Linked DNA regions of Coturnix japonica. The protein of the gene in region 3 interacts with the protein of the main gene of each other region in a pairwise test. Links are inferred from orthologs where the notes say so. Each region holds a gene or a part of one and is shown on either strand. Other genes may lie near its edges.

The links.
Region 1: the proteins of RFX6 (region 3) and SS18L1 interact in binary tests that used the Homo sapiens proteins (3 or more experiments, as listed by UniProt). The two-hybrid records come from large-scale screens. The link is inferred for Coturnix japonica from reciprocal best matches to the Homo sapiens genes RFX6 and SS18L1.
Region 2: the proteins of RFX6 (region 3) and FRS3 interact in binary tests that used the Homo sapiens proteins (3 or more experiments, as listed by UniProt). The two-hybrid records come from large-scale screens. The link is inferred for Coturnix japonica from reciprocal best matches to the Homo sapiens genes RFX6 and FRS3.

Annotation. Positions count from the first base shown.
Region 1 is NC_029535.1:6,919,206-6,922,824, forward strand, and holds part of SS18L1 (calcium-responsive transactivator), read left to right. Parts: intron 1-22; coding exon 23-107; intron 108-886; coding exon 887-1,031; intron 1,032-3,619. UniProt on the Homo sapiens protein: Transcriptional activator which is required for calcium-dependent dendritic growth and branching in cortical neurons. Recruits CREB-binding protein (CREBBP) to nuclear bodies.
Region 2 is NC_029541.1:4,688,158-4,692,346, forward strand, and holds the start of FRS3 (fibroblast growth factor receptor substrate 3), read right to left. Parts: upstream 2,849-4,189; 5' UTR 2,622-2,848; intron 2,308-2,621; exon of another isoform or gene 2,114-2,307; intron 1,531-2,113; exon of another isoform or gene 1,508-1,530; intron 1,403-1,507; 5' UTR 1,268-1,402; intron 1,088-1,267; 5' UTR 1,065-1,087; coding exon 999-1,064; intron 476-998; coding exon 289-475; intron 1-288. UniProt on the Homo sapiens protein: Adapter protein that links FGF and NGF receptors to downstream signaling pathways. Involved in the activation of MAP kinases. Down-regulates ERK2 signaling by interfering with the phosphorylation and nuclear translocation of ERK2.
Region 3 is NC_029518.1:57,929,832-57,934,013, forward strand, and holds the start of RFX6 (DNA-binding protein RFX6), read right to left. Parts: upstream 2,819-4,182; 5' UTR 1,227-2,818; coding exon 1,043-1,226; intron 905-1,042; coding exon 748-904; intron 1-747. UniProt on the Homo sapiens protein: Transcription factor required to direct islet cell differentiation during endocrine pancreas development. Specifically required for the differentiation of 4 of the 5 islet cell types and for the production of insulin.

The DNA.
Region 1 (3,619 bases), on a different chromosome or scaffold from region 3:
AGCTTTACTCCTTATTCTGTAGATACCAACAAATCTTGCACAGAAACCTCGTTTACTTGGCAACAATAGCAGATTCTAACCAGAATATGCAGTCCTTGCTTCCTGCTGTAAGTACCGATGCTACCACCATGTATATTTACTGTGCCAGAGGGAAACGTGCTTTGATGCAGACACTGATCAGTGTCAGTAAACCTTTTTTTTTGGCTGGTGGTTGTGCAGACCAGCAACCACATGAAAAGCTACTTTTCCTGTGTTTCAAATGCGTTCTTTGGGATATTTGTGTTAATATCTGTCTCTGTGGCCTAATTTCTAAATACTGGAAATGCTGCAGTGTTACATATCTGAGCAGGATCCATTTGGTCCAGATTCATTCTTCTTTGCCTGTTCTTACTGTAAAAGTCACTCTTTTGTATCAGAATTTTCCTTCAGTATTTGGGCATTGGCTTGCTTTTAAAAACCGAGTTATTGCTGAACGGGTTGATTTTAGAAGTATCCAACATAACACGAAATGCACAATAGCTTTATGCTTGGCAAAGGCCAATTTGTCACCACTCTGCTGTATGGTGTTTGCAAAGGCATTTCCCCACAGCAGTTACTTTCAGTCTGGTCCAAATGAAATTCATCTAAGTACAGCAGAACGGGCACAGAAGCCGATCTCTGTTAGAAGCACAGCTTGGAGACCTCTGCTGTGCTGCCTGCTGGCTTCCCCGTGTCACGCTGAGTGTCATTCACACACGCTAGTCAAATGGGAGCAGGTTTGCTCAGAAAGCGAGGGAAGCACACGCACTTGAGGCAGTTTTTAGTCACGCTTGGGCTAATTTGAGGGTGATTATTTTTCTAAATAAAACCTAACACAAAATTTGCTTCTCCTCCTTGTTGTTTGCAGCCACCAACGCAAAACATAAACTTGGGCCCGGGAGGAATGACTCAGAGCGCATCCAACCAATCTCTTCATTCACAGAGCAATCTCAGTGATGCAATCGGGACGGGCCTTCCTCCTTCCTCCCTCATGCAGAGTCAGATTAGCAATGGTGAGCCTTGGTCCCCTTTGTGCTGCTTTGCTGTTGCTTGGCAACAAAATCATTAATGCAGAAAATACTTACGGAGCTGTAAAAGATCTCACTCACCTTTCAGGCAGATGGGGATTTCTGGGACGTGCTGGAATCATCACAAAATGGCTCCAGTCTGTAACGCTGTTGGGTTCTGCCAGGCCTCCAGCCTGCTTAGTAATTCGATGGGAGAAATTAAAAACAGTTATAAAATGTCTAATGAGAATCACCAAGTAAAGACGCCTCCAAGTCTCTAGTTACAAAATGATCTATTGCAGCACTTTGCTCTTGAAGATGGTGGGGCTGGCTGGGGTAAAATGGGATCGGTTGCATGACTAACTGTACAACCAAGCCTTTAGATTGCAGAGCTCTTCTAGGCTAGATGGCTTTTTGGAAGACAAAATGGTGTTACATCAGCCTTTGTCTTCTACAGAAGCTTTCAGGGATTGTACTACGCAGCCAAAGAGTTTGCACAGACATTTTATATGGCTAAGATAAATACACACACATTTATCTATTGGTTTCTTTGGTTCTCGCAACTAAAAAGAAGCTGTGATTTTTGTTGTTGTTGTTGTTGACGTTGTATTAATAGTCCATAGTATGAATCATCCATTTACTTATTTTGTACTTCAAGGTTACTTTGTCAGCTCTTGTTTATGTGGGTCTGTCCCAAAGTGAGAGAGACAAAAACAATGTCTATAAATAGAAGGAAGTGACTGTAAAATCACAGACCTTGGCAGGGGAGCCCAGGAGCAGATGCAAGCAATGAAATTACTTCTGAGTTTTTAGAGATCTATTTGTGGCCAAGCTGGTGGGACCTCTGGAACAAATGGAGGAGGTGCCTCCTTTGATACACTTCCAGCTGTAGAGAGGAATTCATCTGTGCCACCTTTCAGAAAGATTTATTAAGTAGTATTACAGTACATCAGTCCCTAACCCAGTGCTAAGTGGACAGCTTACTCTTTGTCCAGATGTTTTGACCAAGGCTCTGCACCTGCATAGTACCAGCTTGTTATGAAAGTACTGGTCCACTGGAGGCTGGTCTGAAGGCAGAGCTGCTCTCCAAAAGGAAGGTGTGACTGTGAATGCACTAGCCTGCCTCTCTTGGCGTGCTGTGAGTAGCCCAGGGAACAGCAGCAGTGATGGCACCTTAAGCTATACGACATCCAACCCTCAGCAGGTACAGCATTGTTAAAGGGGGAAGGGCAGGGAAAGACCTAAGACTAGTACATGTTATCCCTTATTGTCCTCACACTGGCCTTTAGAGGAATCACCTGTGCAGCAGTCACTAGGTGATACCTTAAATGCATGATAATTACCAGCAGTGGCCATTAGGTCAATAACTAATGATAACTAATGGTAATTCTGCCTGTGGGGACAGGTTAAAACCGACTGACGTACTTGTTTCAAGTAACCCAACAGCCAGTCGGTAATTCTTCATGCCACAGCCCTGCAGGCAGAGCCTGTACATTCAGACATAGGTAGGGAAGCTCAGCTCCAAACCAACTGGGGAATCCTCGCTGTTCAGAAGTCATGAATGAGGCCTTTCAAGGACAAAACTCAGCTCCCTTAGATCCACAGGAGTATGAAAGAGGTTCAGTGCTTTGTATTTGCCTTATTGTTCCAGTATTTTTATTTAAACACTTTTGGTCACGCTTTTGTATTTTCCTTTACAATCATGAATTGGCCAAAGTTTTTTGTTGATGTTGGTTTCTTTGGGGGAGTACTTTAAAGAAAGCCCGGATTCTCACATTTTCCCATGCTAATAGGGCAAGATTTACCAACAGATGCTTTACTGCGAGCCCGGGCTCTTTCACTCAGTGCCTGCAGATGCCATTCAAACAGCACATGGTTTTGTGCTGCACGAAAACAAGCATCAGCTTTAGAAGATACAGAGAACTCAGGGAGCACAGAGCTCTGTCGCAGCGTGTCCCTCTGGTTCTGCAGATTTCAGTAGGAATAGCTCAGTTTCTTTGCTATTAGAAATGCTGCTTCTCTCCATGAGAGGAAAATATAATAACCAACAGCAAATTCTCTGTTTCTGATGACTATAAATATCATTAGGAGCAGTTAATGAGGTTTGCAGTAAGAGAATTAAACATTTTTTTCAGAGGCTGTAGATAGGCTTAATAACCAAATTGAAATATCACCATTGGAATATAATTCTGTCTCTTCTAGGGATCCTGCTTGTCTTCCATTCTATCTAAATTAATTTGGTAGGCAACAACACACAGCTGAACTTAGATAGCCAGCTTCCCAAAACTCACCCGTAAAAGTACTTAAAACAACTAACAACAAACATCAGGAGCAAATTTTACCTAATTTTTGTTATCCAACAACAAGAGAATTTAAGAAAGGAAAAAGGAAGCAGCGCAGTGCAGGGGAAGCAGAATGGTGCTCACTGGGGTACAACTGGAGCAGCCCAGTGGTTATGGACAGTGATACTGGTTACAAGGTGCTGTAACAGCAGTGGTTATGATGGAGACTTGGAAAATATGCCTTCAGAAAGGCTGAGGTGGTTTCAATCAGACTTCCAGAGATGGAAAGATAAGCTTGTCCTCCCGGTCCGA
Region 2 (4,189 bases), on a different chromosome or scaffold from region 3:
GACATTAAGTATGTTCCATCTGCTGCAAACTTCAGCTGAAGCCTGGTTCGCCAGTTACCTCCTAAGTGCCCATGCAAGATGAGACTGCCAGACTTACACCCAGGTTCTGAGCCACAGGAGCACTCCCATTAGTATTTTAATTGAGTATCAACTGCACGTGCATGCACATGGGGTGTTCGGGGGGATCAGAGGCTGCAGGAACACCTGCTGGTTCCTCAGATGCAGGATTGTGGGAAGCCACAAGCAGAAACCCCGTAGCTCCTGCTTCATGAAGCAGCCAGCACTCACCCTGCCCCGTGTGGCAGCGACGGCCGCTCTCGAAGGAGAAGAGGTTGGAGTCGTAGCCATAGCGGCGCAGGCAGAGGTAGGGCCACCTGACTGCATCTCTCTTGTGAGTGTGCAAGATGAGCTCCGTCTGCGTCAGCTCCATAACCCCAGATCCCAGCTCATTACCTTCATCGTCCACGTTCGTTACCTGCAGAAACCACGCAGCTCACATCAGGAAGCTTGGTGTGTTTAGGAAAGGGGGGGGAAAAAAAGGCCCTGCCACTAAGATGCTGTAATTCCCCCTTCATTTCCTCAGATGCCCTTTTTTCAGCTGAGAGCACAGATTCACTGCTGGCAGAAAGCACAGAGCTGACAGGGCTGGAGACTTGGTGCTCAGCAGTTCAGCTGATGAGTCTCAGCACAGACACTGGATCACAGCCCTGAGCAATAAAAGGTTTCTCTCCAGTTCTCCATTTCCTTGCTCAGGCTGAATCTCAGCGTAGAGGAAATTTCTACTGCAAATATGAAACATATCTGCAGCAGAGGGTACTTAATTAAAGGGAAAAAAGAAAAAAAAACAGCAACATGTTTGCAAATCTTATCAAGTGAAAGACTTGTCTGTAAGAGCAGTTTTTCTTTGCTTCCATGCCCAGAGCCCAACCCACGCTGAGCTTTGCAAGCAGTCAGAGCTGCTATAAATTCTCTAATGGGGATGAAGGCCCAACACTTACCTTAAATTTGGTGGGGTGGTTGTCTGGGATGCTGTCTCCACACAGACAACTGCAGCAGCTCCCCATGACGGCAGCAGGAGAGGTAATCCCTGGGGAAAGGACACAGGAGAGAGCAATCAAATTACAGCCCATTCCCTCCTGGGTGTCCCTGCGTGTGGCTCAGCCTGTTTGGAACTCAGATGCTTTTTGCTTTGAGAACTTCATGACATGTTCCCCAATGAATGGACCCTGTGCAGTATAAACCTAATTAAGAATAACAGCTTTCTTACCATTAGGCAAGTGGTTGCTTGGGTTTTCTGAAGGTGAGAAAATCCCACTACTGCCGTCCCTTTATCTCCTTCAGGACTTCATGGTACCCAGGTGTCAGTCACCCAGAACACGAGGGAAATGGCCCCATCTTCCACCTGGCAAGAAAGTTACAGTTCAAGAGATAAGAAAAGAGAGAAGAATAAACATGTGGGGAAGGAAAGAAACACATCTAGAAAACCTAAAACTAAGAGATATTTGACCTCTCAGCTTTGGGATTGTACCCAGGAAGAGCAGAGAGCAGCGAGGACTCAGGGCACGTGACATCTGCTGCTCGGGTATGGGAAGGTGCCTTCATTGGATGGAAGGTCCTTATGAGACACAGAACAACAGCCCTGTCAGCAACTGAACACAACTACCAGCCCGTTTCAGACTCTGAAAACTAAGAAATGCCAAATAACACAATTCAGCTGTCTGCTCACAGGCAGTGAGTGCGAGCACGGAGCACACAGGAGTTATACCCAGTAGTGAGGAAATAGGGCAACTCTGAAGCAGCCCTAACAGATCCACACCCACTGCGCAGCACTGGGTTCAGCACCAGACCCTCCAACACAGCGATGACTCCTGGGGCCACATCCCTGTGCTGCTGCAGAGACTCCCCTGTTTGGTTCTCAAATCAAACCACAACCTACCGACCTTCCCTGCAGCTCCACGTCACCCGGCCTCAGCTCCAGCCCTTCAACACCTCCCTGCTGCATCCACACCCCTAATGCACAGTCCTCCAGTGGAGGGAGGCTTGGAGCGGGGCAGGCTGGAGCTGCCATCACCCAGCACATCTCCATCACTGCACGGCTTTATCCCTCACTGACCTTCAGCACCGATTGCTGATCTGCAGCCGAATCCTGGGGCTGGTCCCTGGGCTCCTTGTCGTGGGGGCTGCCATCCCATCAGTGCTCTCACGGAAACAAGAATCCCACAGAAAACACGTTATCTTTGCCCTCTCTTCTTTGCTCCCCTCTCCCTCCAGCTCAGGGATGGAGCCCCATCACCTGCCCTGAACTCACTGCAGCCAGGAGGAGGAGCACAGTGAGACCCCAGCCTTGAGGGGCGGCCATGGCGGGGGGCAACAGCTCAGCCCTTCACCCAGCCCCCCCCCCCCAACCCCCATCGGGCTCCAGACGAACACAACGACCAGAACCAGAACCCGGCAATGGGGCGGGGGAAATGGGACCGGGGGAGGATGGAGCGCAACGGGAAACGGGGGGGGGGGCAAAGGGGCAACGGGGCAACGGGGGAGGAATGAGGGGGGGACACAAAGGGGTTAATGGAGCGGGTGGGAGCGGCGCTGCGGGACGAGGCCCGGCCGTGGGTCGGTACCTGAGGCGCTGCCCGGCTCCGCCGTCCGGGAGCTGAGGCCGGGCCCAAAGCTACGAACCGGACCGGGACCAGGACCCGGCCCGGCCCAAGGGCTGCGAGCTCCGGGTCGGGGACCGGGACCCGCCAGCGCCGCGTCCCACGGCCCGGCCCGGGGCCGCCGGGAGCAGCGAGTGAGTCCGCCGGCCGCCGCCTAGAGCGTCGCGCTGGGAGGACCCCGGGCAGGCGGCGGAGCGGCCAGAAGGGGGCGCCACCACCGAGAGCAGGGATGGGGGGAGGGGCTAAAGGAGGGGGAGGGGTCAGTGTAAGGGGCGGGGCGAAGAGAGACGGGGGTAATGGGGGATATGGGGATAGGTGGGGAGTTATGGGGCGGGGGGTCTATCGGAGGGGTCAGTGCGACAGAAAGGGGTCGGAGAGCCGGGAGTTATAAAGGAGCGGGGGGTGGGTGGGATTGCAGGGGGGATCGGGGCGGCACGGGGCTGTGTAGAAGGGGTCGGTGCCCCCCCACACGCAGCCGGAGCTCGGGGGGTCCCTGCGGTGCCCTCAGCGCAGTGACTGACTCCAACACAGTGACTGACTCCAGCTGCAGGACCCCCCCCCCCCGCAGCGCTGTCCCCGTGCGGACTTTGCCCCCCGCCCCCTCCCCTGACGCTCCGCTGGCGGCTGTGGGGCCGTGGGGTCAAAGTCCGCCCCATGCCCACACAGCGCAGCTCTGGCTCTGACCGCCCCCGGAGCGAGGCTGCGCCCTGTGGGGTCCCTGGGAACAGTCGCTGTTCAGCCCCACGTGTCTCCCTGTGGGTGGCAGCAGGGAGGGGGGGGGGCTCAGTATCCCCGACCCCTGTACCCCCCCCCACACCCCGCACACTGCTCCATCCGCAGCACGGGGGGTTTTACAGGGAGGATAAAACACTGCGGCTGCAAAATGGAAATCTCAGAAATCAGGGACACACAACAGGGCGGGCACGAACCGGAGCGCGGCCCCGACGCGGCTCCTGCTCCGACTCCTGCCATTGCCGAAGCTCTGGGAGGAAAGTAGGACATCCCGGCCGCCTCCGGCCAGAGCCCCGCGGAGCTCCCCCACCTCAACGCCGGGGCGTAATGACACCTCCCCTCTTTTATGAAGCTCCGGTTCTTTCTGATGTAGGGACGAAAAAATACATCGCGGCGGATGATAAAAGCCGCCCAAACGCCGACCCGGGGCGAAGCGGGGCGGGGATGGTCGGAAAATAAGAGGTGGCGAGAAAACGCGATGCGATGGGAGCGCGATCCCTGCAGGGTTAACACTGCGCCGGGCCCTGCCCGTCCCCTCCCCGCTCCCTCCATTGGCTGCCGCTGGAGGTTTAGGCTAACGAACCTCTAATTGGGACCCCGGCTGACAGGGCTCCAGTTTCCTGGGCAGGAGGATTGAAACAACAACAACAACAGGAAAAAAAGAAAAAAAAAAAAAAGAAAAGAAAAGAAAAGAAGAAAAAAAGAAAGAGGAAAAAAAAAGAAAAAAAAGAAAAAAAGAAAGAGAGAAAGGAGGGGGGAAATCTACAAACAAAAACAAAGCCGAAGGAAGCACAGCCCCG
Region 3 (4,182 bases):
CTGTGTCTGGTAACTATGCTCCCATTTAATTCAACAGTACTGCTCACTAACTTCCAGAGTACTTTAAGAAAGACCTGTAGCAGATAAAGCCTACAGAATTTGAGCTCCACTTTGGTTTAGTTTTTACCAAACTAAAACAGAGTTAGGGCGTCTGTGAGTGGTAGAATTTAATGCAAAAAGTACAGCGAGAAACAATGAAAATGTAACTGTTGTTCCCATTTAGAGTAATAAAAGCTAATGTAATTCTTAGGTAATTTCTCGTTTCTAAACTTTTTAAAGACATTTGGGTTTAATGTTTCTGCAAAGAAGACATTACAATGTTATTTTACTGAAACAAAATAACAGAGAAACGACTATATACATATTAGTACAGTATTCCTACTAAGCCAGGATGACCAGCTAAATAAGCGCAGTTTCTTTCCATATTGGATGCCTGGATCACACGTCCAGGTACAATAAGCTGATCCACAGTGCTTTCTGTCCCGAATAAATCTGATCTTCCATCACCTCTCACAGCCGTGTGCCAAAGGAACCAGATAGAGGTTTCTGCTAACAGGCAAACCTCCGCTAATTCAAAGCATCAGGAATTTGAGGGAGACAAGGGTTATCAAAAGTTGGAATAAGCTCAAGGAACCCAACGAACGCAGCCACTGCCAACGAGCGGTGCGATGCCGCTCCTGTTGCTGGCACAGCCCCGAGGCGGAGGAGCGGCCCTCTGGGAGACCCCCCCCGTCCAGCCGGCCCTACCACTGCAGGGTGAGCTGCGTCTGCTTCTTCTTGTCCTTCATCATCTGCGTGATGCTCTTCTTCGGGGACGGGCTCTTGTCCGCAGCTCTCAGTTTGCCGTCGCGAGTATTCGCATCCTCTTCTTCCGAGGAGAGAGTCTCGCCGTTAAAAGGCACTTCTGCGCGAGAAGGAGCGAAGAGAGAAGCAGCCCGGGGACGGCATTAGGTCGGCAGCACACCGTCCCCCCGAGCATCCCGTTAAACCGGCGCTGCCCCACGGCCGGGCCCTCCCCAGCGGCTCTCCCCGCGGTCCTCACCCGACTTGACGGCAGCGGGCAACTCCGTCAGCCCCCTCCCGGCTCCCAGCCCTTCCTCGGCGTAGGGCAGCAAGCCGCCCGCCAGCAGCTCCACGTAGCACTCCTCCGGCCCGGCGGTGGCGGACATCGCCTGCGTGGCCGGGAGGTGCAGGAAGGCGTCCTCTTGCTCGGGCCCCTTGGCCATGCTGCTCAGCGGCACCTGCCTCGCCTCGCCGCCGCGCCCATGGGCTGCCGAACGGGACGGGGCGGGCGTAGGGCAGTGCGGGCCGCTTGTGCGAGGCTGCGGTGGCGGGGATAGTCGAACGAGAGGAGAGGAAAGGCGAAGAGAGAAACAGGTGTGACCCGGGAGGCGGCGGGTTCAGGGCGCCCCTCCCTCCTGACGGCAACTCCCGGGGGAGTCGGGGCTGGGGGCACGAAAGAACGGGTCTGCAGGGGCTTAATGATTAACTGCCGGCTGCGTGCGGAGGAGCACCTCGGAGTTCTCTCCTTACTTCAGTCGTGATGCTATACACAGCTTAATTCGTATCACCGTGTCTGTATATGACTTCTGTCAGCTCTCAGCATAACTCACAGAGACAGTTCAGCTTCTGTTCTGAGGCTACAGTAAAATCTTATCCCGTTCTCTGACTTCTCTAAGTACTTCAGAGCCTGACCCACGAGGATCAGTATTTCTACAGTGTGACAAAACTTTCCAGCTACAAACTTACACCGAATCTCTAGTAAGCAAAATCCTATATGCCACTGTCTTCCTGGTAACAGAGAGCTAAATGTGGTATCCCTTGTGTAAGAACAGGATTCTCCTTCACTGTTACTTCAGAATATCTTCCATGGCACAAATTCTAGCCATCAAGACATGAACCAGGTCGTTTCCACCCCTGGGCAACAGTAATTTGTAGTCACTTCCTGTTGCATCTGTGGGTCAAGAGCTGCTTCATCGTAGAATCACAGAACAGTTTGGGTTGGAAGGGACCTTAGAGCCCATACAGTTCCAATCTGCTGTTATGAGCAGGGCTGCCTCCAACTTGATCATGCTGCCCATCCAACCTGGCCGTGAATACCTCCAGGGATGAGGCATCTACAGCTTCTCCCTTTGCACTGCCTCTGGACTGCCCCAACCCTGAGACCACTAAGGGTAACATCCCTGTGACTTTCATTCAGGCATCCCTTCAGTTACTGGAAGGCAGTGACGATATCTCACTGGAACTTTCTCTTCTCTGAGCTGAGCAAACCCAGCATCCTCAAGCTATTTTCATAGGAGAGGTGCTCCAGCTCTCTGATCTTCATAGGCCTCTTCTGGACCCACCCCAACAGCACTGTATCCTTCCCATACTGGGGGCCCCAGGCCTGGACTTCCTACTCTGGATAGGCCTTCACAAAGGCAGAGCAGGGAGGCACAATCACCTCCCTCACCCTGCTGGCCACCCATTTACCTGAAGCTGATTCTGATTTAAGAACTCTTTTGGTAAATGAAAGTTATTGGATTTAATAACTTCCTCAGGCTCATACAAACACTCCTATCTCTACTAGCTCCTCCAAAGCAAGTGAATGGCTATCGTGCAGCATTAACAGCTCTGTATGAAACTGGGCATATGTTTGCAGCAGTAAAGAAAGAAAAATGGATTGGCTAGTGCTCCTGAGCAAACTCATGTTTAAAGACTGCATGAGAAAAGTGCATCATCCACTGCCAATATGTGAACAAACATATCTGTTTTGTAATAAACAGAAATGAGGAAGTTCTTCCTGTAAGTAATGATAAATTACATACAAATTATACTTATCTGACAGGGAATAGTGTTCCTTAATAAAATCTAATTGTTTTTATAATATTCTACATGAAATCACTGGTACTGAAAATAACTTATAGGAGAGAAATATTTGTCCAGGCAGGGACAGGTAAATTCTAGAGTTCAAGCTGTGCTCTCGCAGCTGTAAAACAACCAGATCCCTCTGCTTTATGGAATAGATTTTACTCCACGTTGTCTACTGTATGAGACACTGATAGTTGGTGCTGTGTCTGTTTGCAAAGTCACAGGGATTGCAGGGGTCAGCAGCAATGGCATATTTCTTATCACCACAGAAACTTTCTTTCCCTTACATGTTAACTTCTCAGCAGCCATCCTGTTGTGATTTGTAGTCAGGGAGTTCACAGAGTAGTTTTAAATTTGATGTCTCTGATGCCGGTGTGGTACATCCCTAGTATTTGAGTGACACCATGAAACTCCTGACATGGCTTGCCAAAACCAGTCAAAAAGCCCAGAGAATTGTCCACAAGTTTGCAGCCTGCAAGTAATTTTCTTTGCTAAGGTAATTGCCCTTGATTTAGTCTTCATCTTTTATTTTACTTATTTCAGCTCTTTACTTTCTTTCAGGCCATTCCTGTTTCCATTCAGTTCCTATCACTCTCTTTGTTCCACGTTCCTTCAATTTTCAATTCCAACAGTATGTTAAGCAGGATGTTCCTTGCTTGAAATTTGCTTTCAGTGACAATTTTGCTATCAATTATGTTTATTTGCCTAACTGCCCCAAACCCTTTTCCTCACTAAAATGTTCTGAAGCACTTATTTCATCATAAGCAAAATACCAGAAGTCCATCTTCTATTTAATGGACCTTAAATGTGAGAAGTTGTCACACCTGCTTATTGAAAAGTGTTGATTTAAGGAAACTGAAAAGATCTCTTGCAAAATAACCAGCACAGTGTATACTACTGGCCTTACTCGAAGGAGTTAATTCCTAGTTTTCTGCTGTTTGATATAATCTGGGAAGCATTCATCCTGATGGAAAGGTCATATTACATATAAACAAAACACACTGCTTTCATTATCACTAGCATTCTTATCCTGGTGCTCTATGCCAAGGCTGGAAATGTGCTCTAAGACCCTTTAGCAAACATCTTGCAAATGCAAAACCAACATATTCACAATGGTTTTCATGATAGAAATTGCCAGAATGTAGCTCCTGCTTTAAACTGTTGCCCAGGAGTCCAGGAGTCAATAACAGACTCCTGGACTCAGCCTCCTGATGTAGGAACTGCATTTGTTGTTGTTGTGTTTTTTTGTTGTTGTTTGTTATTTAGTGCATTGTGCACAAGTCTGAACACAGAAGCATCTAACAAATAATGTAGTAGATGAGGTTAAAATTC